Linked DNA regions of Macaca fascicularis. The protein of the gene in region 3 purifies or fractionates together with the protein of the main gene of each other region. This does not show direct contact. Links are inferred from orthologs where the notes say so. Each region holds a gene or a part of one and is shown on either strand. Other genes may lie near its edges.

Region 1 (4,286 bases), about 6.1 Mb from region 3:
AGGAGACCAGTGTGGATGGAGTCATGGGGGGCGGGGCAGGGGCAGAGATGATATTGGCACACTCATGGATTCACGGGGGCTGGATTACTCAGTCTTGCAGGACCTCTGGATTTTACTCAGATGAGATGAGAAGCAACTGGAAGATTCTCCACATTCTAGTGCACTTTCAACAAAATGTAAACTTCCTCCCTTATCCCCCAAGACCTTTCATTATGGCCTGGTCTCTGCCCCTCTCTCCAGCCATACTTACTCCCCATCTGCTTCCTCTGCCACAGCCACTCGGCCTCATCTAAAGGGTTCCCATTCTTCCAGATATATATTCTCAACACCCACCCCAAGTCCAATTCCATCTTTGGCTTTCTTACAACTTTCAATTACACATTTTACGTTGTTTTCCTCATCTGTAAAGCACAAGGGCAGGAACCATCAGTTTCATACATCCCCAACACTCTCTCAGTGTCTGCCATTGTTGCTAAGCCAGGAGCTAACAACCAGTCACTGAAGTGAGCAGGCAAAATCCTGAACCACAGTTTGTGCCAGAACTGCAAAATTTGCTCCCCCATCTCCTCAGACTGTTTCAATTTCCCACAAGGCTGTTATACAGCTGTGACCTCCTGCCTGATCTCTATCAGGGACAAGGTAAAGGCCTTAAAGGAAAATGGAACAGGCCTCCAGGGCTGCACTGAGAAAATTTCAACTTACCAGAGAGGCTGAGATCCTTCTGCAGGGCCCTCAGGCCCTCTCGATTCTGATTCCTTTTAGTGTCCAGGTCCACAATCTGAAAACCACAGGGACAGGAGGGAACTCAGCTATCTCTTGCCCCAAGCTGTCACCTCTTGACAGACAACAGCTGCAGAGACAATGAATTATTCCTGGTTACATCCAATGTCCTGCCTAAAATGGATTGATGTGTGAATGTATTTCTTCTCACTCAGCTTCCTGGTCTGAAAGACAATGCTGTGTGCAGCTGCCCTCTGCCCAGAGAAGATGCTGGGAAAACATGTGCTGACTAAACGGGAAATTCTGCATTATCCACTCGAACTTTAGGGCATGTCAGAATCACCGGGGGAGTGGAAACCCTTCCCCTACACACTGTGATTAAGCAGGCCTAATGTTTATTTTTGGACAAACTTCTCCAGCTGATTGTGAACTAGTAATATGAGAAACCCAACAGTACTAGATTGGAACAGCAGGATTGGGGGCACTGAGACAGTGGTAACAACACAATAGCTACTAAGGAAGTGAAGCAGTAGTACAGTATACTGCACGAGAGTGCTGGTTCTGGAGCTGGAATACCCAAGTTCGAATCCTGCTGTCTGCCTCAAGCTGTGTAATTTCACCTTCCTATTTACTCCTCCTCAAAATGGAGCTACAAACAGTACCTACCTCACAGGTTATTGAGCCAGCAATTAAATGACTTAACACAGTACCTGGCACATAGTAAGTAGCTGATAAACTTTATTTATTTATTTATTTTTACTTTTTTTTATTTTTTTTGAGACGGAGTCTCGCTCTTTTGTCTAGGCTGGAGTGCAGTGGCGCAATCTCGGCTCACTGCAAGCTCCGCCTCCCGGGTTCATGCCATTCTCCTGTCTCAGCCTCCCGGGTAGCTGGGACTACAGGCGCCCGCCACCACGTCCGGCTAATTTTTTGTATTGTTAGTACAGACAGGGTTTCACCGTGTTAGCCAGGATGGTCCTGATCTCCTGACTTCGTGATCCGCCCGTCTCGGCCTTTCAAAGCGCTGGGATTACAGGCGTGAGCCACCGCGCCAGGCCTGCTGATAAACTTTAAGTGCTCTTATTATTCTCATCCAGCACACCCTGATCCAGTATTTAATTTGACAGATTCTTGCCCAAGTTTTCCCCTTCTCAGTAAATACCTGACCCTTCTAACTGGAGATGAGAGGGAGTCACGACTCCCGTGGCTCCCTCACCCATTTACACAGCCACTATCACGGCCTACTGAGTCTGTCTCCAAAATACATTTCTGACCCCTTCACTTCTCTCCACCACCACTACCTAGTCCAAATCCATCTCTGGTCTGAACCATAGCAATGGCCCCTCACCCGTCTCCCTGCCTTCACCCTTGCCCGCCTATATTCTGTATTCCACACAGCAGCCGGGGGATCCTTTTAAAACCTAAATCCAATTACGTCACCCTCCTTCCCCAAGGAACTCCCTTCTAAAGCTTGGCACTTAAATTAGAGCCTGACCCAAACCCCCTACAAGGCACCCCATAAACAGGGCGCCACCTTCCCCCAGGTCCCCACCCCCTCCCAGTCACAAGGCCCCCTCAGGCCTCTTTTCGGTTCTAGCTCTCCCCGAGGGCCTTTACAGGGCGGTGCCCCCAGATCAACCATGGGGCCGGGAAGTGCATTTTGAAACAGGTGCTCAGGAAACCGCCCAGAGCATGATGGGTCGAGATCCAGAGAGCATGGCAAGGGGCAGAGAAAAGATGAAGAGCGAGGAATGACCAGCACAGCGCAGGCGCTCGCTTAGTAGCGGCCGAATATTAATTGGCCCACGTCTGTCGCCTCGGAGCCGTTAACCGCCTGTCCGGGTCAACTCTCCGCGACCCCGCGGGCTTTCCGACGGCGCCGGCCGCCAGGCCCCAGCGCCGCGGACGGGCCTCTCACCTGCCGCTTGTCCGCCAGCACCTCCTCGGCGAGCTCCTCCACCTCTACCAGGTACCGCAGCACTCGCTCCGCCTCGGGCGATAGCATACCGCCCACCAACTCCTCCTGCGGCTGTCGTGCGACCCCGGGGGTCTCCGTTTCGACTCCCGCTGCGCATGCGCCGCTCTCAAGGGGCTTCCGGCGCGCCTGCGCAGTTAAAAGAACGGTGGTGCGCAGGCTCCAACGCTCGTGCGCCAGCCGGCTGCGAGAGGCGGGGCCTAGCTTTGGGGGCGGGGCTGGAGCGCCCTCTGCAGGCTCAGAGAGTTCAGTCCGTGGGTTGTCTCTGAACTCCTCGGTTCACACTTCTTGAGCGCTTACTATGTGCCAACCAGTTTTAGGTGCTTAGGATGCAGCAGTGAGCACAACAAAATCCTTGCCTTCATGGAACTTCATTCCAGTGGGAAACACCGACAATTAATGGCAGGTAGTGATCAGGACCTGGGAAATATGATTCTTCCCCTGGCTAAGAAACACCAAGAAGGCCCATGTGGCAGTGTGACTTATGTTTAATCTCTGACACTTTCAGTTTCTAATTTATAAAAAGGGGATGAATAAAAATCCGCCTCAGTGTCTCTCCACAGAATCGGAAGGAAGTAGGAATCGGCTGGGCGCAGTGGCTCATGCCTGTAATCCCACTTTGGAAGGCCAAAGCCCGGGGGGATCACTTGAGCCCAGGAGTTAGAGACCAGCTTGGCCAGCACAGTAAAACCTCCGTTTCCACTAAAAATAAAAAATAAAATTAAAAAAAATTAGCTGGGTGCGGTGGGGCGCGCCTGTTGGTCCCAGCTACTCAGGAGGCTGAGGTGGGAGGAGCACCTGCACCTGGGGAGTGGAGGCTGCAGTGAGCTCTGATGGCACCACTGCACTCCAGCAGTAATCACTTTATCACTTTTAATTCCATTTAACCAGAGTTCACTTGAGCCCCTGTGTTGGACCCAATGCCCAAAGTAACTGGCCTATACATAAGGAACAGACTTGAAAACTATGGGCAGTAAGCAATGAAATGGTAGCTCAGAAAAGCAAACGGGTGTGGGTTGTAGGATTGGTAGGACTTCCCAGAGGAGGCAGGAAGATGGAAAATGGTTACCATCAGAACCAGAGAGTTCCCACGAGGTCTTCATGCCCAAACTCCTCATTGGATAGCTGGAAAAAAAACGGAACTCAGAGAGAGGTAAGGCTTTGAAAAGAAGGTGAGGGGTGAGCCATGTGGATGCCTAGGAGAAGAGTGTTCCAGGCAGAGGGAACAGCCAGTGTATGTGGAACAGAATGGGCAGGGGGAAGCAGGCAGGAGGTCAGAGGGGAAGGAGGCATTGAGCCCACAGGGCTGTAAAAGGCGCTGGGAAAGGACTTTGAAAGTCTAAAGAGCAGAACTGGTATTATCACTCTGATCTTTTGCCTCTCTGACTCCAGCTTCTTCTTCTCTCCTTTTGACCTCTTGTAACCCCTCACACCCCTTGCCTTACTTGAGTGTCAAAGCAACCTTTGTATGGATGGGATTATTACTGCCCCATTTCACAGCTGCAGACTGAGGCCATGAGAAACGCAGTGCCTCATCACACAGCAAGCCAGGAGTGCCTGGTGTCCATGCCATTTCTGGACCCTGAAAAAA
Region 2 (4,115 bases), on a different chromosome or scaffold from region 3:
AAAAAAGATAAGCAAAGTGGCATCAGGAAAATGAACAGAAAGGCTGGGAATGACAAAGATACCTACTTCACAATTTTTCCTAAAGCTGACTTAGAAACCAAACTCAAACTAAACTAAGTATAACTGTAAAGAAATAACTTAAATGAAAACAAGGCCCATGCATAAACTGTTTTCATTGCGCCCCACACCATTCTGCTGAATATTTCTCTCAAAACACTTTATTTACAGTGAGATCAATGAAGTTCATTAAATGTAAATACAAAATGACTAAAATTACCCTTAATCATTTTAGAAAGTTAAATTCCATTCCGCTAGAAAAACAACATCAATGTATGATGTTGTTTTAGCCAAAAGCACTTAACTATATAAACTACACACAATGCACTTCAACTGACACACTGCCCTCCTGGAGCATTCATTTTTTCACTCTTAAGATATCAACAAAGGAAATAAGCTCAGGCACAATAGCAACAACAGCTGAGGTAAAAAATTCTGGCTTCATTATATCTCATTATTGCTGACTAGAAAAAAAACTGTAATTGTCACTGGTGATCCCACACAGCAGAGACAGGACGGGGACCAACTTATTCTTGCAAATGATGTAACCATACAGTTAAAGCCCCAGAGCCCAAGGTGAGGAAATGTAAAATGCTTGTATAGTTTAGTAAAAATGTTTTAAAATAGGGTGGAGAATAGGTTCTCTCACTCACATTAGAACTGCTTGCAATATATCACTGGTGTACCAAGTACATTAAACATTATTTTACAAAGTTAATGCTGAAGTCAAACCCTAACCCCACCATTTTACTGAGTAACCTTAAGCAACTTAATTTCTGAGTCTTAGTTTCCTCGTTTGTAAATCAGTGATTAAAAAATCTACTTCTCAGACGATTTTAAGGTACAATGAGATGGCTGGGCACATAGCAGATACTTAACATGTGAGTCTTCGATGATGACTGTTAGCATATTTGATGTTTTTGCACGTTATAATTTTATCTCTGGGCAAGAAAACTATTTGATCTGTTATTGGTAAACACAGGTAATTCTGTCTTGTATCTACTAATTTCTCTGCATTATTATTCAAAGAACCACAAAACATCCCTCTCAAAACTTTAAACACAAATAGTTTGAAGCATGGGGCCTATAATTTTGCAAACTTTATCTATCTGTTCTCTAAAAGGTAAACAAATCAAAACACTACAGGAGCAATGGCAAAAGTGAAATAAGGCAGAATAACTGGATGATGGGTCTCACTGGTGAAATGCCGCAGGCAGGAAGCAAAGAAAAATTCTAATAGATATATATGGAGTAAGAGTTAACCCTCTCTTCTCAGCAGGAAACAGTGACTTCTCCACACTTCCTCCTGTAAGATTTGAAACCTTCTGCAAACAATCCATGCTTTAACAGAGCTCATTTCTGTAGTAAAGCAGCAAAATGGAAAAATCTCCAGGATAAAGACAAAAAAGGCATAACTGAAGAAAAAGGTACTACATATTCAAAAAGCACATTTCCTTTTGTGATTACCCATGAGATCAACTCAATTGTATAAAAAGGTATTTCAGGTAATTAAAAAGTAACGGGGCCGGGCACGGGGGAGCTCACGCCTGTAATCCCCGCACTTTGGGAGGCCGAGGCAGGTGGATCACCTGAGGTCGGGAGTTCGAGAACAGCCTAGCCAACATGAAACCCTGTCTCTACTAAAAATACAAAAAATTAGCCGGACATGGTGGCGGGCGCCTGTAATCCCGGCTACTCGCGAGGCCGAGACAGGAGAATCGCTTGAACCCGGGAGGCGGAGGTTGCAGTGAGCCGAGATCGCGCCACTGCACTCCAGACTGGGCGACAAGAGCAAAACTCCGTCTCAAAAAAAAAAATAATAATAACTGGACACGATTTATATTTTAAGGTATTAATGATGATACTGACTATGACTACAGTATCGCAGTTGTTTCTGGTCAGTATACAAGAAACCTGTATTATATTGCAGCAAACACAGGTACAGGTAAAACCCGGTGGTGCCTCAGATCTATGCAGAGCTCATGCTGCTTCTTAACATTCATCCAGGTAAGGCTCTCCTTACTACACATCACAAGTTTTAGATACATTCATCCAGACAAGGCACTCCGTATTAAACATCACTGGATTTACTACTGCTTAAAACCACAGCTTGCCTACCATCAGGAAAGCCAGAAATCACTAACACGTCAAGGCCTGTAAGAAATAAACAGACGCTACAATTTCCGCGAAGGTTCGGAAAAATCAATACACCTTACAAGGTTCTGAAATATTAAAAATATATATACGTAAATCTCTATGGATCTGGGCCCAACGGCCCAAGGTCACAACAATTCAATAGCTAAAAAACCCAAGAAATGAGTCTCCTGCAATTCAAGACAATCCTGGCTAGGAATGGAGTCTGGGTTTGGGAACACTAGGGTCAAACCTTTAATGTGAACAATCCCAACCAAACGCTGAGGCTCCGTGGGAAAACCCCAGGCGTTTCGGGCCACACTTCCTTCCATTTCCCCAGTCTTCCCTTCCCTAGTCACCCCCAACACTCACATCTCCGGAGCCACTTCATCCAGTGGTAGACGATAGTACTGTGGTGTTTTTTGTTCTCTATACACCAAGACGACAAGCCTTGAATGGATTCCATGGTGTTGGTTACCGACTGGAATTTTCGATCCAACGAGGACTCCAGAGCCCCTGCCGAAGAGGCCGACGAGGAGGAGGCCTTACTGCTGCCTCCGCCGCCGCCGGCCGCCATCTTCCCGGTTTGCACAAGCGCTGCTGCTCCTCTGGCGGCGGCGGCGGCGGCGGCGGCGGCGGCGGGAGCGGGCAAAACAATCACTGCGAGTGCGTGAAAGCCGTAGGTGGGGAGGGAGGCTAGGGGGTGGGGATGGTGCACGCGCTGGGCTCTTCTGGAGGTACGGACGGGAACACCAGCTGCTGGGCACGCTGGCAGCTCCTACACGCTGCAAGGAGGGGCTGCGGGTCTCAGAGGTTTTTATCAATATTGTTCAAGGGGTCGTGTTTAAACCAGTCAGTAATCACGGAAAAATTACGCAGAAAACAGGACCTGCAGAACCTTTCAAACCGCCTGACGCCGAAACTAATGGTTTTATACTTTTCGGCTCTCAGTGCTAAGGCCCTTCCCCGCCCCTATCCCCACACTCCTGTGAGCCAGGTCAGGGGTTAATATCTTAAATTTAATACTACCCGACTGCCCCTTCAGTTGCAGAAATCTTTCTCTCCTTTAGACTGGCTAGCACAGAAAAGGTCCAAGGCTACCTAGTCAGGATTTTTTTTTGCAACGCAATAGCAGCACAGGGGCAGCAACAGTATCGCGCACGCGCCGCTTAGCCCCACCCCCCCATCCCTGCTTCCTTCTCAACCTTGAAAGCAGAGGGAGGTGTGATGGCGCGGCAATCTGACCAATCAGGAGTGCAGAACCAGAAGCGCGCGCAGGAGCTCTGAAGCCCCCAGGACCCAGGAGGCGCTACGATTATTTGTGCGCCTGCGCAGAAGATGAGCGTGTAGCTGGATGGAAGGAAAAACTAAGAGGGATGGGTGAGGAAGCTGGTCTAAGGTTAGACGGGGGGTGGGGGGGTTCCACCGCTCCGCCCCGCTTTTTGCTGCTTTGGTCGCTCTCTTGGGTGTGTTCAGCTCACACAAGAGAGACAGAAAATTCCCACCACTGAGCCCACTGTTAGTCTTTGGCGGCTGCAGCCATCGCCCCCAACTCCTCGGGGAAGCAACGCGCGACAAAATGGCTGGCAGCCATCTTGCAGCACCACAAAAGATGCGCATGCGCCAGCTCCAGTGAGCCATTCACTACGCAGACTCCGAGACCAAACCGTATTTCTCGCTTCCCTTGGAAGATAACATTCACAGCCGCTTGACCATTTAGGTTAGAGGAAAAGGAAATAAATGAAGAAGTGAAAGGAAATTTTCCTCATAAAATTTTTCGAAGCGAAAACAGAATGGGAAGATGTGACCTCATTTTCGCCAGCTATGACACAATCTTAAAATTGCATAATACATTATAGTTTGCAAGAGTCTTTACGTAACTATTATATGAACCTTATAGGAACCATTTTATCGCATGTACCTAT
Region 3 (4,184 bases):
CTTGTGGTGTTACAAATAAACAAGAAGGTCTAGTTTCTCCCTCAAAACATAATCTAATGACAAAGATGTAACCAGTTCAAATGAACAGCTAGTAGGAACAAATCAAATGCTAAACTGGTATGACGGGTGGAAGGCACTCATTAATTCTAATAAATGAAAGCACTACAGTTTGGTTGGGGTCAGGTGACCACCTTCACTTATTAAATGCACCGAGACACAGAGTACTTGAAAAAGAACACATTTTGGCATCAGGCAGCCCTGGGCTCATGTCCTAGCTATATGTCTCTGGACAAGGCATTTAATCTCTCTATACCTTTATCATCTCATCTATAAAATGAGGATAATAATGCTGGCCTACTTGCAACATAAGGCTCTACCATATAAGATTAGGGATAACGGAGCTTCATACTCAAATGTACTCTCTAATTTGCTTTTTTTCAGTAACTCAACTAGCGTGAGGTGAAGAATCAAGAAAGAGTCACGAAAGAAGTGACACCTGGCTGCGCGCGGTGGCTCACGCCTGTAACACCAGCACTTTGGGAGGCCCAGGCGGGAGGATCACGAGGTCAGGAGATGGAGACCATCTTGGCTAACACGGTGAAACCCCGTGTCTACTAAAAATATAAAAAATTAGCCGGGCGTGGTGGCGGGCATCTATAGTCCCAGCTACTGGGCAGGCTGAGGCAGGAGAATAGCGTGAACCCGGGAGGCGGAGCTCGCAGTGAGCCGAGATTGTGCCACTGCACTCCAGCACGGGCAACAGAGCGAGACCCCGTACATTCACTTGAGACGGACTTTAACTGCCTTTTGAGGTCCCACCCAATAGAATTCTATACAGTGGCAATTCACATCTCAGCAGACTCTACAAATAATTTCTGAATGGCACACTGGGGTACATGAAGAAGGCCCCATAAACTCCAGGCTCTACCTCTCCCCGCAACTGCCCGAAAGGCTGCGGGGATCCCTATCTTAGTACAGTATGCAATACTTGGAGGGTCCCTGCTAAAGGGCTAGAACTGGGTCTTCTAAAAAAAATCATGGATTTTGGTGTTTGCCAGCCTGATGTAGTCTGAGCCTCAACAGTTCAAAACCCTTGAAAATACCACTTAGCCACTTCAGTTTCCTCGCCTGTAGAGCAGGACATCTGTGGTGTCCTCAACTCACCGATAGCAGAGAATACTTGTAAAGCCACTTCCTTTGCTATAAAGGCCTACCACATATAGGGTGTCCGGAGCAGCTCGGAGCTTCATTTCTTCAGTCTTCCATTATGAAACTCATCAGGGAGTGCAGGTGCCCATCTTTCCCCACCAGACCGTAAGCAACTTGAAGGCAAAGACCATGCCTCACAGTGAGTGAGTAATCAAAAGTCTCATCTCACCATAATCTGTTGAATGCCTACAATGTGCCTGACCCCGTGCTAAATGTTCATTTGGATTATCCTGTTTACTTCTCACCACGAGATGAGTCTCAATTTTTCCTCTTCTGCAAAGTTCCTACTTTATAGGGCTTCAATAATTTTTTTTGATGGCAATGTATGTAAAGATATCAGTACTGCACTTCGCATGTAATAAAGACATAGTAAGTATCGATTATCCATTCTGTAGATAAGAAAATGAAGGGACAGACAGGTTAAGTTGCTGGGGTCAGTAAGGCGGCAAAGTCAGACTTAAATTCTAGGCAGTTGGCAGAGGCAACACGCTATAAGTGTCCAAGCCAGTGCCTGGCACATAACAGACTGAGTTCAATGAATGTCTGTCAGAACCTGAGCAGGCCCTGAAATCAATGACAGCTGCATGAGAGGAGAGGAGAGGTAAGGTCTGGGTCGGGTGGCTCCTTAACCTAAGACGGGAAAGACTATCTACTTCACAGGGCTGTTCTAAGGACTGAGTGTGAGGATATATATACAAAGGTCTTAGGATAGTGACTGGTATGGAGTAAAGGCTTTGTAGGGGGTAGCTATCCTTGCCTCCCTCTTACAGATGAGAAAACAGAGACACAGGGAGATGAAGAAACTCTCCCACTATTATTCAGCTGGCAAGTCGCTGAGCCAGCCAGCACTCGATCTGCGGAGTCTAACTCCGGAGCCCACTGGCTTTTACTCCAAATACCCAGCACTGGGCCTGACGTGCTAGGGCCAGTGCGGCGCTGAATGCAGCCGAGATAATAACAGCCACAGATGTCAGGCGGAAACTGAAGGGAAAATGGCTTGATGAACTCTAAGTCTGGACACCTGAGTCCCAGTCCGTGGAACCTCAGACAAGTACCTTAAACCTTCCCGGACCTCAGTTTCCTTCTTCGAGAAATGGGGCTAACCTTGTCTCCCATCTCAGAAGCTCGATCAGGCCTGGAAAGCAAGGCTCAATGAAGAGGCTTAGAAGGGCCTAACGTGTGGGTGGGCGAGAGGACAACCCGGGGACCGTCCAAGGGGTGGGGAGTTGGTGTTTACCTTTGCGGAGCTCGCGGTGCCACACGGAGACGATGGGTCCCGCGTGCTTGCGGTGGTGGATGAGCCAAAGGGACAGGGTCTGCACGCTCTGCTGAGAGTTGCTCAGCTCCGAGAGCTTCTTCTCCAGCGCCGACTCAGAGAAGGAGGACATGGTGGCGGCAGTGAGGCCCGGCAGGGAGCGGCCTGGGCCGCCCAGTGCGGCGGGAAGAGCGACGGCACGAGGCCGGGACCTCACCTGACAGGCTGCGGGACTTTTTACCGACTGACAGACGGCCAGGGGGGCAAGGAGGGGGAGGGGATGGGTCTCCGCAGTAACAGCCGCCCGCGCCGCCGCCACAAGATGGCCACCCGACCTCTCACCCTACCGCGAGAGCGGGGTCAAAGGGCAAGGGCCAGAGCAGCTGGGCACCGAGAGGCGTCGGAGCTCTAGAAAACCGTCCCTTTGAAGGCGACGGCCTGTCTGAACCTCGCGCAGACGACTTCGAAGGAGACAGAGCGAGGGAAGGAACGTAGTTCCCCCGGCCCCCGGAAAGGGCCTTGACCGCTCAAGCCCGCACGCCTGCGCAGTGGATCTCGCCGGAACCCTTTTTCCCGCTCCCTCGGAACCTTTCTGGCGCGGTACGGCGCGCTACTTAGCGCGTCACTTCCGGCGAGGCAGAGGAGGCGGGAGAGTGAGGGAAAGGCTGGAAGACGAGGTAAGGGAAGAGTGGCGGGAACCAGAGGGAGCCCAACAGCTGGGACCCCGTAGAGGGGTATCCTGAGGGGACACTGAGGCTGAGAGATCATGATATGGGTATGGGAGGGGGGTTTCCTTTCTAATCTGGCGGGCCCCAGGCCGCACCTTTCCTCCGTACGTGTTCGGTTCTCTGGCTGTCCCCAAAAACACTTAGTTTTGGTTCTTCCAAGCCACCCACGTGCCCTTTTCATGCCTCCAGGCCCTGGCGCTCGTTCTCTCTCCGAAAGTGACATCCCCTTTCTCACCTGGTGAGCTCCTACTCAGCCTTCCGGAGCACCCTTTAATGTCCGATTCTGACCTTTTAGTCTGTAACAGCGCCGTCATGAAACACATTTGGGCTCTCAGCTCTTAAGTGGGTTCTCAGGGTGTTATTACATGCTGCTCTTGCCTTCTGGGGGTCCAGTTGACTTTTTCGAACTTAAGTGAGGTGTTAACTTTAGGGAAAAGGTGGAGGGAACTAACTTACCCTTCCCAATGTGTCTGCTGACCTCATGTTAAGACACGCTATTTGAGGCCTGGCGCAATGGCTCTTGCTTGTAATCCCAACCCTTTGGGAGGCCGAGGCGAGAGGATAGCTTGAGGACTGGGGTTCAAGACCATCCTGGGTAACATAGCGAAAATTAGCCAGGCATGGTGACGCTCACCTGTAGTTCCAGCTACGCGAGAGGATCCCTTGAGCCCAGGAGTTAGAGGTTACAGTGAGCTGTGGTCGTGCCACTGTACTCCAGCCTGGGCGACGGAGCAAGACTCTTGTCTGAAACAAAACAAAACACTCTGTGAGACTCTAAACCTTGACCCTTTTTTTTTTGAGTGTTTAAATCCCAGTTATCAAAGCAGGAGAGAAATATCTTTCTTACTGCCACAGGGGTGATGGTAGGGAGTTAAGTTATAGACGTAAGAGAGTTTTAAAATTTCGTGATCGTGGTATAACTTCCTAGTTGTGGGCAGACTGTAGTTTAGGAGACGTTCTTCTAATTGATACCTGCTTTTGCTCTTATTGCA
Region 4 (4,137 bases), on a different chromosome or scaffold from region 3:
CTTATACAGAGAAAACTTATTTTGATATACTAATGAATCTGATCTGAATGGACTAGATTGGGGGGATAAAAAAATGGTTGCAATTGTGCTCCCTGGAATAGCTTTGGAGTTTACCTAGATCTTCTGTCTCTTTGGGATGGAGCTGCTTGTGTTAATATAGCATCTTACATAGGATTGAGACAACTTCAATTTCCTATATAAAAAAATCGGGGGAGGGCAGTAGTTTTGGAGGTTATGGGGGTGTTCAAACCTCCCAAGTGATATCTGCTGTGACTGCATGTCTTCCTACTGTTTCCATTGGGATGCATCTCTGGTAGGTGAACTATAACAAGAAACTAAAAGCTGTGTCCAATACTTACTAAACTGTCTTCTTCTCAACAGCTGGGGGAAAGAAAAAAAAAAGTCTTTTCAACAATTTTGCACATTTGGAGATAGGCCTAAAGTGAAGAAGGGAATTTTCAAATTGGTGTGTTGGAAAAGCCGCTGGGCTTTTGGGTTTGAAATCTGGTGCTGTCACTTACTGGTTTTGTGCCCTGGGAATATTTATTTCAGTTTTCATGACTCTTTTTCTACAGGCAAAGTAGAAAATTATAAAAGGTCCTCAACCAGTTTGTACAGCTGCTCCCACTCCCTCATCACCTCTTGTGGGCCTTTGGAAATGTATGTTGGGGGAGACATTTTGGATTTTTGCAATTACTTGGGAGTGCCATGGCACCTAGCAGGCAGAAGCCAGAAACACCAAATGTCTTAACAATGCCTGAGGCAGTGCCACAAATGAAGTCCTGCTCCAAATGCAATGAGCCCCGAAAAGAATTGCTGATTCTAAGGAACCTTCCAACTTTAACATTTCAGGACGTCCCTAAGCTGAGCTAGGAGGCACCACACACAGGCCGGAGTCTCCCAAATCCTGTCCCGCACTCTCCTCTACCTTATTAACGGCCAACTCATCTTTCAGGTTTCGACTTGTATTTCACTTCTCAGAGATACCTTCCCAGGTGCCCACCCCAACGTCACTATTATATTATTATTTGATTCTCCGTCCCTCCGTCCCCCGCGCCAACTCTGTAAACCCCAACTATAACAGAGGACGTGGCTCTTTGTTGACTAACACATAGTGCTTGGTGAGGTCACGCTGGCGCCAAATACTTTTTGTATAAACCTATGAACAGCTGACAACCGGATGAACGCTCACACGAGGGGAAAGGGCGCCAAACCCAGGCGCCGGCGTCCTCCGACGTAATTTCCGTCCTTTAGCGCTCCTCCGGACGCCCCCTTCTCCCGGTCCGTGTTTGTTTCCGGCATTTCAATAAAGCTCGATTCGGCTCGAGGAAGACCCCGTTCTTCCGGGAAAATGGCGACTCCCGCTCGAGCCCCGGAGTCACTGCAGTCCGCGGATCCGGCGCTAGCAGCGGGGCCTGCCGAGGAAGCCGAGTGCCCGCCGCCGCGCCAGCCTCAGCCTGTGCAGAATGTCCTCGCTGCCCCGCGGCTTCGAGCCCCAAGCTCTCGAGGACTTGGGGCAGCGGAGTTTGGTGGAGCTGCGGGAAATGTTGAAGCGCCAGGAGAGACTTTTGCGCAACGAGTAAGCTGGGGTCCCGCGGAGTCTCCGCCAGGCTCCTTCAGCTCGAGCTCCCTGGGCGCTCCCCTCCCCTCCCCCACTCTGTTTCCTTCCCTGGAAGGTGACCTTGCCTCAGTCACATTCGCCTCAGTCCTACGGGCGAGTGGACGGAGGGCTTGCTGTCGCAGAGCCGTGCCTCTTCCTGGCCAGGCACGTAGGCCTGCGAGGATGGCTCGGACTGAACGGCTACTTATTGTTGCAGGCAGTTAGTAGCCCCTCGTTGGTTTTATTTGCCCGGGGACTGTGTTAGTTCCATGAAGCAAGAGTCTTCATTCTAAACCCTTTTGTCGCCCGCACCCCTAACCCATAACAAATTGTCAGCTTCGTCTCTGGATTCTACGCTTACAGGAACCGTAGGAAATGGGAAGAGTGGGATATGAAGAGGCGTTTATTAGGCCGGGAAAGTTCAACCCCCAGTCAGCTGGTTGATTTAACGGATTTTAGCAAGGGAGCCACGTGATAAAAGTGATTTTGTTTTTCAGGCAGCTTTGTTTAGCAGCTTGTTGCAAAAGATGGTTTGAAGGAATAAAAAGCGGGAGACAGTAGATGGCTATTTTCAGAGAGGCTCCCCACGAGACAGTTGTAAGAAAGTGAACTAGGAAGGGATTGGGAGAACTTTTAGGCATAGAGTCATTTAAATGTAGTTGACAGAGATGGCTGAGTTTTCCAATTTGTATGGAAGACCACTAGCAAAAATAGGAATATTCAGGGAGAGGAATAGATCCGTGGTTGATTTTACGTAGGGTGTTCAGAGTTGAGGGGAGAGCGGGACAGACATTTGACTAATTGAAAACCAAACACTTAAAAGCTGGAGAAGTTGTCATTAGGCTCAAGAAAGAGAGAACTCTGGAAAAATATAGAAAACATAGGAATTTCAGCTGTAGAGTGTTGTTAATAGTTGAAATAGTGGGAATGAATGTAGTGTCAAAAAGAACAAAGGACCTAAGATTTTTCTCTCCATTTATTGTATAATTAAAGAAAAGAGAATCAAAAAAGGAACTCTGTCATCTAGCAAAAGGGACAAATAAATAATTGATTGGGATCAAGGCAGGTGTTTTTACCTTGTGAGAATAGGTTTTTAATCTGTAGTAGTGAATTAACTTTTTGGTCTCAGGACTCCTTTATACTTTAAGATTTTTTGACATCCCAAAGAACTATTTTATGTGTTCTGTCTAGTGAAGTTTATTTACTTATCAGAAATACAGCTGAAGTCTTTAAAACATAAGCATACACAAGCACACATTCTATTCTAGAACAATGATGTCATCATATGTCATGTAGCCACTGGAAAACTCCGCCGTACCCATGTGAGAAAATGAGAGGGAAATAACATCTTAGTATTATTATGAAAGTAGTTTTAAAATAATAGGCCCATCCCCACACTCCACCCCATCCCCAAATTGTGGGGATTGCACTTTAATGACTGCTGGTTCTTAGAATGTCTTATGTGATTATTACATGCTTAAAATACTTTTGCCGAAATTCTAATTTGCTGAGACAAATGAGGCATATATTCCCTATTCCAGCATTCCCTTGTTTTTTTGTGCTGTTTGGATAATGACCGTTTTATTTGTTTTATTCCTGTTTTGGGGCAGTTAGAAATCAGATATTTGACTTAAAAATCAGCTTTTCTTTCTTTGAAGATAATGCTTTGCCTTTTTAATGTTATATGTCAAGTTAAAAACATGGCTGTAATGTGTATGTATTCTTTTCCATTTGACAGAAAATTCATTTGCAAATTGCCCGACAAAGGTAAAAAGATCTTTGACTCTGTTGCCAAACTGAAAGCTGCTGTTGCAGAACATGAAGAAGTTAGAAGAAAAAGTGAACTGTTTCACCCTGTTAGTTTAGACTGTAAGCTAAGGCAAAAAGCAATTGCAGAAGTTGATGTGGGTACAGATAAGGCCCAGAATTCTGACCCGATACTTGATACTTCATCACTAGTTCCTGGGTGTTCCTCTGTAGATAATATCAAGTCATCTAAAACAACCTCACAAAACCAGGGACTTGGACATCCTACTCATGAAGGTGATGGAGAGACTCCAGAGGTTGAGTACACAGTGATTAAGGGCCCAGCTTCCAGCAACAGAGACAGGGTACCGTCTTCATCTGAAGCTAGTGAGCATCACCCGCAGCGTCGTGTTTCAAGTCAAGCAGAAGATACTTCCAGCAGCTTTGACAACCTGTTTATTGACAGGTTACAGAGGATCACTATTGCAGACCAAGGTGAACAACAGTCAGAAGAAAACGCAAGTACTAAGAACTTGACAGACCTTTCTAGTGGGACTCAGAAGAAGCCTCATTACATGGAAGTGCTAGAAATGCGAGCCAAAAATCCAGTGCCCCAGCTGCATAAATTTAAAACCAATGTGTAAGTACCATCGGAAACAGGCCTATAACAGGAACATGATATTTGTTAAACTCAAAAAGTTAAGAGAAACTGGGTGTCGTGGTGCTTGCCTGTAGTCCTAGGCTACTCAGGAGGCTGAGGTGGGAAGACAGCTTGAGTCCAGGAGTTGTAG
Region 5 (3,500 bases), on a different chromosome or scaffold from region 3:
AAACTTCCTGAAAGAGGAATCCAAAGTGATACAGCTATATATAATTTCCAGTTGTTTGCCTTTCCAAATCCTTTATTTTTTAATATATGTAAGCATATGCGTGTGTTGTGTGTGTATATATGTGTGTGTATGTGTGTATGTGTGTGTGTATATATATAACCACATTTCCTTTATCTTTTTCTCTTTATCTCTCTCATATATAAATAGAATTCTGCTGAGTAGAAATAAGTGTAACCGGCCAGGCGTGGTGGCTCATGCCTGTAATCCCAGCACTTTGGGAGGCCCAGGTGGGCAGATCATCTGAGGTTGTGAGTTTGAGACCAGCCTGATCAACATGGAAAAACCCCATCTCTACTAAAAATACAAAATTAGGGGCCGCGCGCGGTGGCTCAAGCCTGTAATCCCAGCACTTTGGGAGGCCGAAACGGGTGGATCACGAGGTCAGGAGATCAAGACCATCCTGGCTAACACGGTGAAATCCAGTCTCTACTAAAAAATACAAAAAACTAGCTGGGCGAGGTGGCGGGCGCCTGTAGTCCCAGCTACTCGGGAGGCTGAGGCAGGAGAATAGCTCGAACCCGGGAGGCGGAGCTTGCAGTGAGCTGAGATCCAGCCACTGCACTCCAGCCTGGGCCACAGAGCGAGACTCCGTCTCAAAAAAAAAAAAAATACAAAATTAGCCAGGGGTGGCGGCGCATGCCTGTAATCCCAGCTACTCAGTAAGGCTGAGGCAGGAGAATCACTCGAACCTGGGAAGCAGAGGTTGCGGTGAGCTGAGACTCCAGCCTGGGCAACAAGAGCGAAACTCGGTCTCAAAAAAAAAAAAAAAAGAAATAAGTAAGTGTAACCTTTTTTTAGTTCCTAACACCAAGAAACCCTCCAATACCTTTGGCAGTCCCTGCATCCAAGGCTACAGAACCCATATCTTTTCGAAGGCGTTCCAGTTGTTCTCTCTGCTGTTGGCTCTCTGCACTGGCCTGTATATATAGAGAAAAATGTCATCATATTCAAAAAGGAGTCCCAAATTAGATGCCAGACTTCTCAGTGGAGACGAAGAATTATACAAATACTAGAGGCTACATAAAAACTGATGCAGATAAGGGACGTCCGGTATAGGGACAGAAACACTAAGTAGCGTGGACCTGGGTTACAGCAGAAGTTCAGACTAGAGAGCTCTGCAGACTGATTTAAAGGATTCAGAAACTGAACACAAAAAGATTTCAAAAGAACCCTCAATTCCAAAGTGTTGAGTTCAGTCCAGGGTGGATCTCCTGCTCTGTTAATTAAACTGGAACATTTCAACTGGTTAGGCAAAATGCCTAGATAGAAAGCATTACTCTTTTTATTCATCCCCAGCCTACAAAATGAAAAAACAAAAGATATAATAAAATTTATTATATGGGAAAAAAACACAAAAACCTGAAGTAGACATAGCAGGAAGGCTCAAAGACAAGGGATCCAATGAGCCTATGGAAGCAGGACACTCAATCATTTGGGATAAGAGAAGGCTGGGCATGGTGGCTCAGCCTGTAATCCTAGTACTACAGGAGGCCCAGCAGGGAGGATCGCAGGAGCTCAGGAATTTGAGACCAGCCTGGAAAACATAGTGAGACCTTGTCTGTACAAAAATTTACAAAATAAAATTAGCCAGGCATGTGGTATATACATGTTGTCCTAGCTACTCGGGTGGCTGAGATGGGAGGATTGCTTAAGCCTTTCAAAAGGTTGAGGCTGCAGTGAGCCGTGATCATGCCACTGCACTCTGGCCTGGGTGACAGAGTGAGACCCTTTCTCAACAACGAAAAAAGGAGTTGTGAATCACCACCATACTCTATACAAAATTCTACAACTAGTTTTAAATTGACCTCTGAGAGGGAAGAAACATTAAGGAGCCTTTCTGCACCCAGACAACATACATACAAATGTACAAATTTAAATTAACAAGTATTTAGAAGATACACTGAAATTTCATTAGTCAATTGTACCTCAATAAAGCTACAAAAAACTTTTTTAGTTAAATAAAAGATACATTAATAACCAAAACAAAAGCACTTATGTCATCAGGATTGAGCTGGGTTTTTTTAATGGCCCTTCTAAAATATACAAACAGCCTCCCTTCTTACCAGTGATTTTTTCAGACGTTCATATTCAGGACGATACTCCCTGTAAAGAGAAACACTTTCTAAATTCCTTTGCTTAATCATCTATCCTACTTACTCTCCACATCCCTTATGTCCTCTGTTTTCCTAAGACTCTGACAATAATAAAATATCTGACTTCATTCAACATCAGATGTAACAAATCTTAGTCACTGATAGAGTCTACCCAATGGAATTAAAAGCCAAGGTGCCCGCTCCCACCTTGGAACCAGGAGACACAATCCTGACTGCTGGGCTGGAAAGATTAATACTGGTGAGAACATGACTGATGAACTCATCATTCATTTGAGATAAAAGGCTGAGATAAGTAAAAGATAAGCCTGTTGAGCTCAGGATATGCAACATACAATTATGTGCTTTACTTGAACACCAACAGTGAAAGGATACAGAGAAGAGTCTATCCTAAGGTTTTTTTTTTTTTTTTTTTTTTTTTTTTTTTGAGACGGAGTCTTGCTCTGTAGCCCGGGCTGGAGTGCAGTGGCCGGATCTCAGCTCACTGCAAGCTCCGCCTCCCGGGTTTGCGCCATTCTCCTGCCTCAGCCTCCGGAGTAGCTGGGACTACAGGCGCCGCCACCTCGCCCGGCTAGTTTTTTGTATTTTTAGTAGAGACGGGGTTTCACCGTGTTAGCCAGGATGGTCTCGATCTCCTGACCTCGTGATCCGCCCGTCTCGGCCTCCCAAAGTGCTGGGATTACAGGCTTGAGCCACCGCGCCCGGCCCCTAAGGTTTTGATAATACCCCTGTGTCTAATGAATCAAAATCAAAATAACGTGTCTGAAAACCAAAACATGGTTGTTAGGATCTTGCAAAATATGAAGCCAAAGACACACGCTAATAAGCCGGCTATCGTGCCACAGGCCTAAGGAAAGTGTACAGGACTCTGACTCCACTTTCCTTTAGTTAAATGGAATTCCAGTATTAACAATGACAAGTTATAACATTTATTATAAAATATGCTTACTATATGTCAGCAATTGTGATAAGTGCTGTATACATGTTTTCTCAGTCTTCACAACAACCTTAGTGCCAAATCCAGCCTACTGCCTGTTTTCATAAATGATGTTTTACTGTAACCCACGCCCATTCATTTACGAATTGTCTAAGGACGCTTTTGTCCTACAATGGCAGACTTCAGCAGTTGCAACAGAGACTGTATGGTCCACAAAGCCTGAGATATCTATTATTTAGCTCTTTACAGAAAAGTCTGATGATCCCTGCTCTTAATCACTCAATACAATGAAGATTTATACTTCCATTAAAAAAAAAAAAGTTAAAGGGAACTTGTTACCCCTACGTGTGATCTGATTCAATAGATATGCAAGGCAAATATAATATATCCAT
Region 6 (2,803 bases), on a different chromosome or scaffold from region 3:
TCCTGTAGGTATTTCATACATTTTTGTACCCTAACTAGATTCTGAGCCCTTTTACATCTTCAGTTCAGTGTAGTATAGTGATACACTGTTGTTTATATACCCATCTTAGGAAGGGCTGTGTTGAGATCCTATAGCCTGTGTCATTACTAGCCTCTTGTTCATCTCTCCCTGTCTGCTGTCTCCTCTCCCTTCTTTCCCAGTTATGCTCTTGGTTACTTTTAAGGGCAGGAGAAGAGCAAACACTCTGGAACTATATCAGTACTCAGAATGCCGCTAATGATTGTATCATTTGCTGGAAGCCAAAGACCCAACATCAGAGCCTTGACTTCAATGAGGTCACCTTTAAACCTGGACAAATGGGTTAGTCAGCTCCCCTGGGTGGCTGAGGATAGCAGACGCATCAGTATAAGAAAGAGGGGCTAGTAAGCAGACAACTCCACAGCCTCCTTAAAGAGTTATTGTTACTGCCAAAAAAAAAAAAAAAGAGGATAACACTTCCATGAGAACCAAGGACTTTTTATACTTAGAACACATACTGAAAAATCAGGAGGCAGTAGCTAAGCTAAAAGAAGCACCAGATGCCTTCTGGAATGAGTTGCCTTCCTTGCCTCCACAACAGCAGCCAGACTGGACCTCTGGACAACACGGTAAGTGTGACAATCACACTTCCTACATCAGGACCAAGGGTAGGAAGCCACTAGGCTCAGCTTACAAGCCCTGTGAAACCAGAAAAAGTGCATCAGTTAGACCCAGAATTTGGGGGCAGCCACAACCATGTACTTCTCATCCCAAGGAACGTGTCCTGGATCTTTCAACCAGACAGCGTGAAAGTTTCTTCTGTCTCTCTCTCATTTGGGCATTAAATCCTGTATTACTCCCCACCCCTACACAACCCTTCTCCAGGCAATAACCCCAGCCCATATGATCAGGCACTCACCCAAGTAATCGTCCATCAGGGAGCCAATAGCAAACTGCAGGAAAGATGGTAAAAAGAAAGTGAAGGCCGGGCGCGGTGGCTCAAGCCTGTAATCCCAGCACTTTGGGAGGCCCAGACGGGCGGATCACGAGGTCAGGAGATCGAGACCATCCTGGCTAATACGGTGAAACCCCGTCTCTACTAAAAATACAAAAAACTAGCCGGGCGAGGTGGTGGGCGCCTGTAGTCCCAGCTACTCGGGAGGAGAATGGCGTAAACCCGGGAGGCGGAGCTTGCAGTGAGCTGAGATCCGGCCACTGCACTCCAGCCTGGGCGACAAAGCGAGACTCCGTCTCAAAAAAAAAAAAAAAAAAAAGAAAGTGAAGCCAAGATGAGCACAGAACCAACCTCTACCCCGCAGCCCCAGGCCTTCTGCCCATCCATCCCTTCTTCCTGACAGAAGAGCATAGAACCCCCTGAAACTAGGTGGCAAGAAATCCAACAGCTCTCCGCTCAGCCTGGTATAGGTAGAGGTGGGGAAAAGACTCACAATGTCATTCTTGTCCACACGGGTCCCCACAATCTTTAAGCGGATCTCATCGTCCTGCTGAATCACAATATCCTGGGGAGAGGAGGGAACAGTGTACAGATGCTCCTCAGTTTATGAGAGGTTACATCACAACTACTTCACTGTAAGCCCGGGGGCATATTGAATGCACATCACTTTCGCATCATCGTAAAGTCATAAAATCATGAATCAAGCCATGGTAATTCAGGGACCATCTGTGCTCGGCCATCCTCAGGCCAATATTCTCCCTCAGGATGACTGATTCTCTCTTCCTCTTCCTGACTTCTTTCTGTCCACTTACCTCATCCATTGTCTTGTAACATGGTGGGTTGGAGTTAGGATCAAACTCCATCTCTGAAGGGATGGACTGAAAGGAAAGTGAGATTAGGGTAGCACTTTAAAAGGATGCTTCAGTAGATGGTAATGAATGGGTATCTCTCTTCCTCAGCCCCACCCAGTGTGCCTAGACTTACATGTCGAGAGATGAAGCAAGACATGGGTCCAATTTCTGTGAAGAGTCCAACCTAGAAAAAAATGAGTGATCTTATGGTCATGCACGGTGGCTTATGCCTATAATCCCAGCACTTTGGGGGGCCGAGGCGGGTGGATCATGAGGTCACAAGTTCAAGACCAGCCTGACCAACATGGTGAAACCTTGTCTCTGCTAAAAATACAAAAATTAGCTGGGTGTGGTAGCGCACCTGTAATCCCAGCTACTCAAGAGACTGAGGCAGGAGAATCGTTTGAACCCGGGAGGCGGAGGTTGCAGTGAGCCAGATCTCGCCATTGTACTCCAGCCTGGCAACAGAGCAAGACTCCGTCTCAAAAAAAAAAAAAGAGTGATCTTGCTTTTCTTTGTCCCCTCAAGTGTTGTGTTTTTGTTTTTTGCTTTCTAAATTTTGAGACAGGTTCTCACTGTTGCCCAGGTTGGAAAGCAGTGGTGTAATCACAGCTCACTGTACCTTTGAATTCCTGGGCTCAAGCAATCCTCCCACCTCAGCCTTCCAAGTAGCTGAGACCACAGGTGCACACCACCATGCTAGGCTAATTTTTTAAAACTTTTTGTAGAGACAGAGTCTTGCTATGTTGCCCAGGCTGGTCTCAAACTCCTAGGCTCAAGCAATCTTCCCACTTCTGCCTCCCAAAGCACTGGGATTATAGGTGTAAGCCAGCACACCCAGCCCTCTTCTCTTTTTTTTTAAGCTTTCATTTGTATTTATTTATGTATTTATTTTGAGACAGAATCTCGCTCTGTTGTTCACTCTGGAGTGCAGTGGTGCAATTTCAACTCACTGCAACCTCCACCTCCCACGTTCAAG

Evidence for each region.
Region 1: the proteins of RPRD1B (region 3) and PDRG1 purify together in Homo sapiens (affinity purification with mass spectrometry; 3 studies listed by BioGRID and IntAct, with this or other methods). This does not show direct contact. The link is inferred for Macaca fascicularis from reciprocal best matches to the Homo sapiens genes RPRD1B and PDRG1.
Region 2: the proteins of RPRD1B (region 3) and RPRD2 purify together in Homo sapiens (affinity purification with mass spectrometry; 4 studies listed by BioGRID and IntAct, counting the BioPlex papers as one, with this or other methods). This does not show direct contact. The link is inferred for Macaca fascicularis from reciprocal best matches to the Homo sapiens genes RPRD1B and RPRD2.
Region 4: the proteins of RPRD1B (region 3) and POLR2M purify together in Homo sapiens (affinity purification with mass spectrometry; 3 studies listed by BioGRID and IntAct, counting the BioPlex papers as one, with this or other methods). This does not show direct contact. The link is inferred for Macaca fascicularis from reciprocal best matches to the Homo sapiens genes RPRD1B and POLR2M.
Region 5: the proteins of RPRD1B (region 3) and GPN1 purify together in Homo sapiens (affinity purification with mass spectrometry; 3 studies listed by BioGRID and IntAct, counting the BioPlex papers as one, with this or other methods). This does not show direct contact. The link is inferred for Macaca fascicularis from reciprocal best matches to the Homo sapiens genes RPRD1B and GPN1.
Region 6: the proteins of RPRD1B (region 3) and POLR2G purify together in Homo sapiens (affinity purification with mass spectrometry; 3 studies listed by BioGRID and IntAct, counting the BioPlex papers as one, with this or other methods). This does not show direct contact. The link is inferred for Macaca fascicularis from reciprocal best matches to the Homo sapiens genes RPRD1B and POLR2G.

The regions. Positions count from the first base shown.
Region 1 is NC_088384.1:88,038,866-88,043,151, forward strand, and holds the start of PDRG1 (p53 and DNA damage-regulated protein 1), read right to left. Parts: upstream 2,801-4,286; 5' UTR 2,726-2,800; coding exon 2,639-2,725; intron 779-2,638; coding exon 703-778; intron 1-702. UniProt on the Homo sapiens protein: May play a role in chaperone-mediated protein folding.
Region 2 is NC_088375.1:110,894,860-110,898,974, forward strand, and holds the start of RPRD2 (regulation of nuclear pre-mRNA domain-containing protein 2), read right to left. Parts: upstream 2,801-4,115; 5' UTR 2,768-2,800; coding exon 2,563-2,767; intron 1-2,562.
Region 3 is NC_088384.1:94,152,385-94,156,568, reverse strand, and holds the start of RPRD1B (regulation of nuclear pre-mRNA domain-containing protein 1B), read right to left. Parts: upstream 2,801-4,184; 5' UTR 2,598-2,800; coding exon 2,447-2,597; intron 1-2,446. UniProt on the Homo sapiens protein: Interacts with phosphorylated C-terminal heptapeptide repeat domain (CTD) of the largest RNA polymerase II subunit POLR2A, and participates in dephosphorylation of the CTD by RPAP2. Transcriptional regulator which enhances expression of CCND1.
Region 4 is NC_088381.1:34,165,849-34,169,985, forward strand, and holds the start of POLR2M (protein GRINL1A), read left to right. Parts: upstream 1-1,337; 5' UTR 1,338-1,466; coding exon 1,467-1,579; intron 1,580-3,338; coding exon 3,339-3,986; intron 3,987-4,137.
Region 5 is NC_088387.1:94,592,648-94,596,147, forward strand, and holds part of GPN1 (GPN-loop GTPase 1), read right to left. Parts: intron 2,164-3,500; coding exon 2,124-2,163; intron 1,366-2,123; exon of another isoform or gene 1,237-1,365; intron 978-1,236; coding exon 887-977; intron 1-886. UniProt on the Homo sapiens protein: Small GTPase required for proper nuclear import of RNA polymerase II (RNAPII). May act at an RNAP assembly step prior to nuclear import.
Region 6 is NC_088388.1:11,288,832-11,291,634, forward strand, and holds the end of POLR2G (DNA-directed RNA polymerase II subunit RPB7), read right to left. Parts: intron 2,009-2,803; coding exon 1,958-2,008; intron 1,852-1,957; coding exon 1,786-1,851; intron 1,539-1,785; coding exon 1,467-1,538; intron 972-1,466; coding exon 938-971; intron 718-937; coding exon 704-717; 3' UTR 501-703; downstream 1-500. UniProt on the Homo sapiens protein: Core component of RNA polymerase II (Pol II), a DNA-dependent RNA polymerase which synthesizes mRNA precursors and many functional non-coding RNAs using the four ribonucleoside triphosphates as substrates.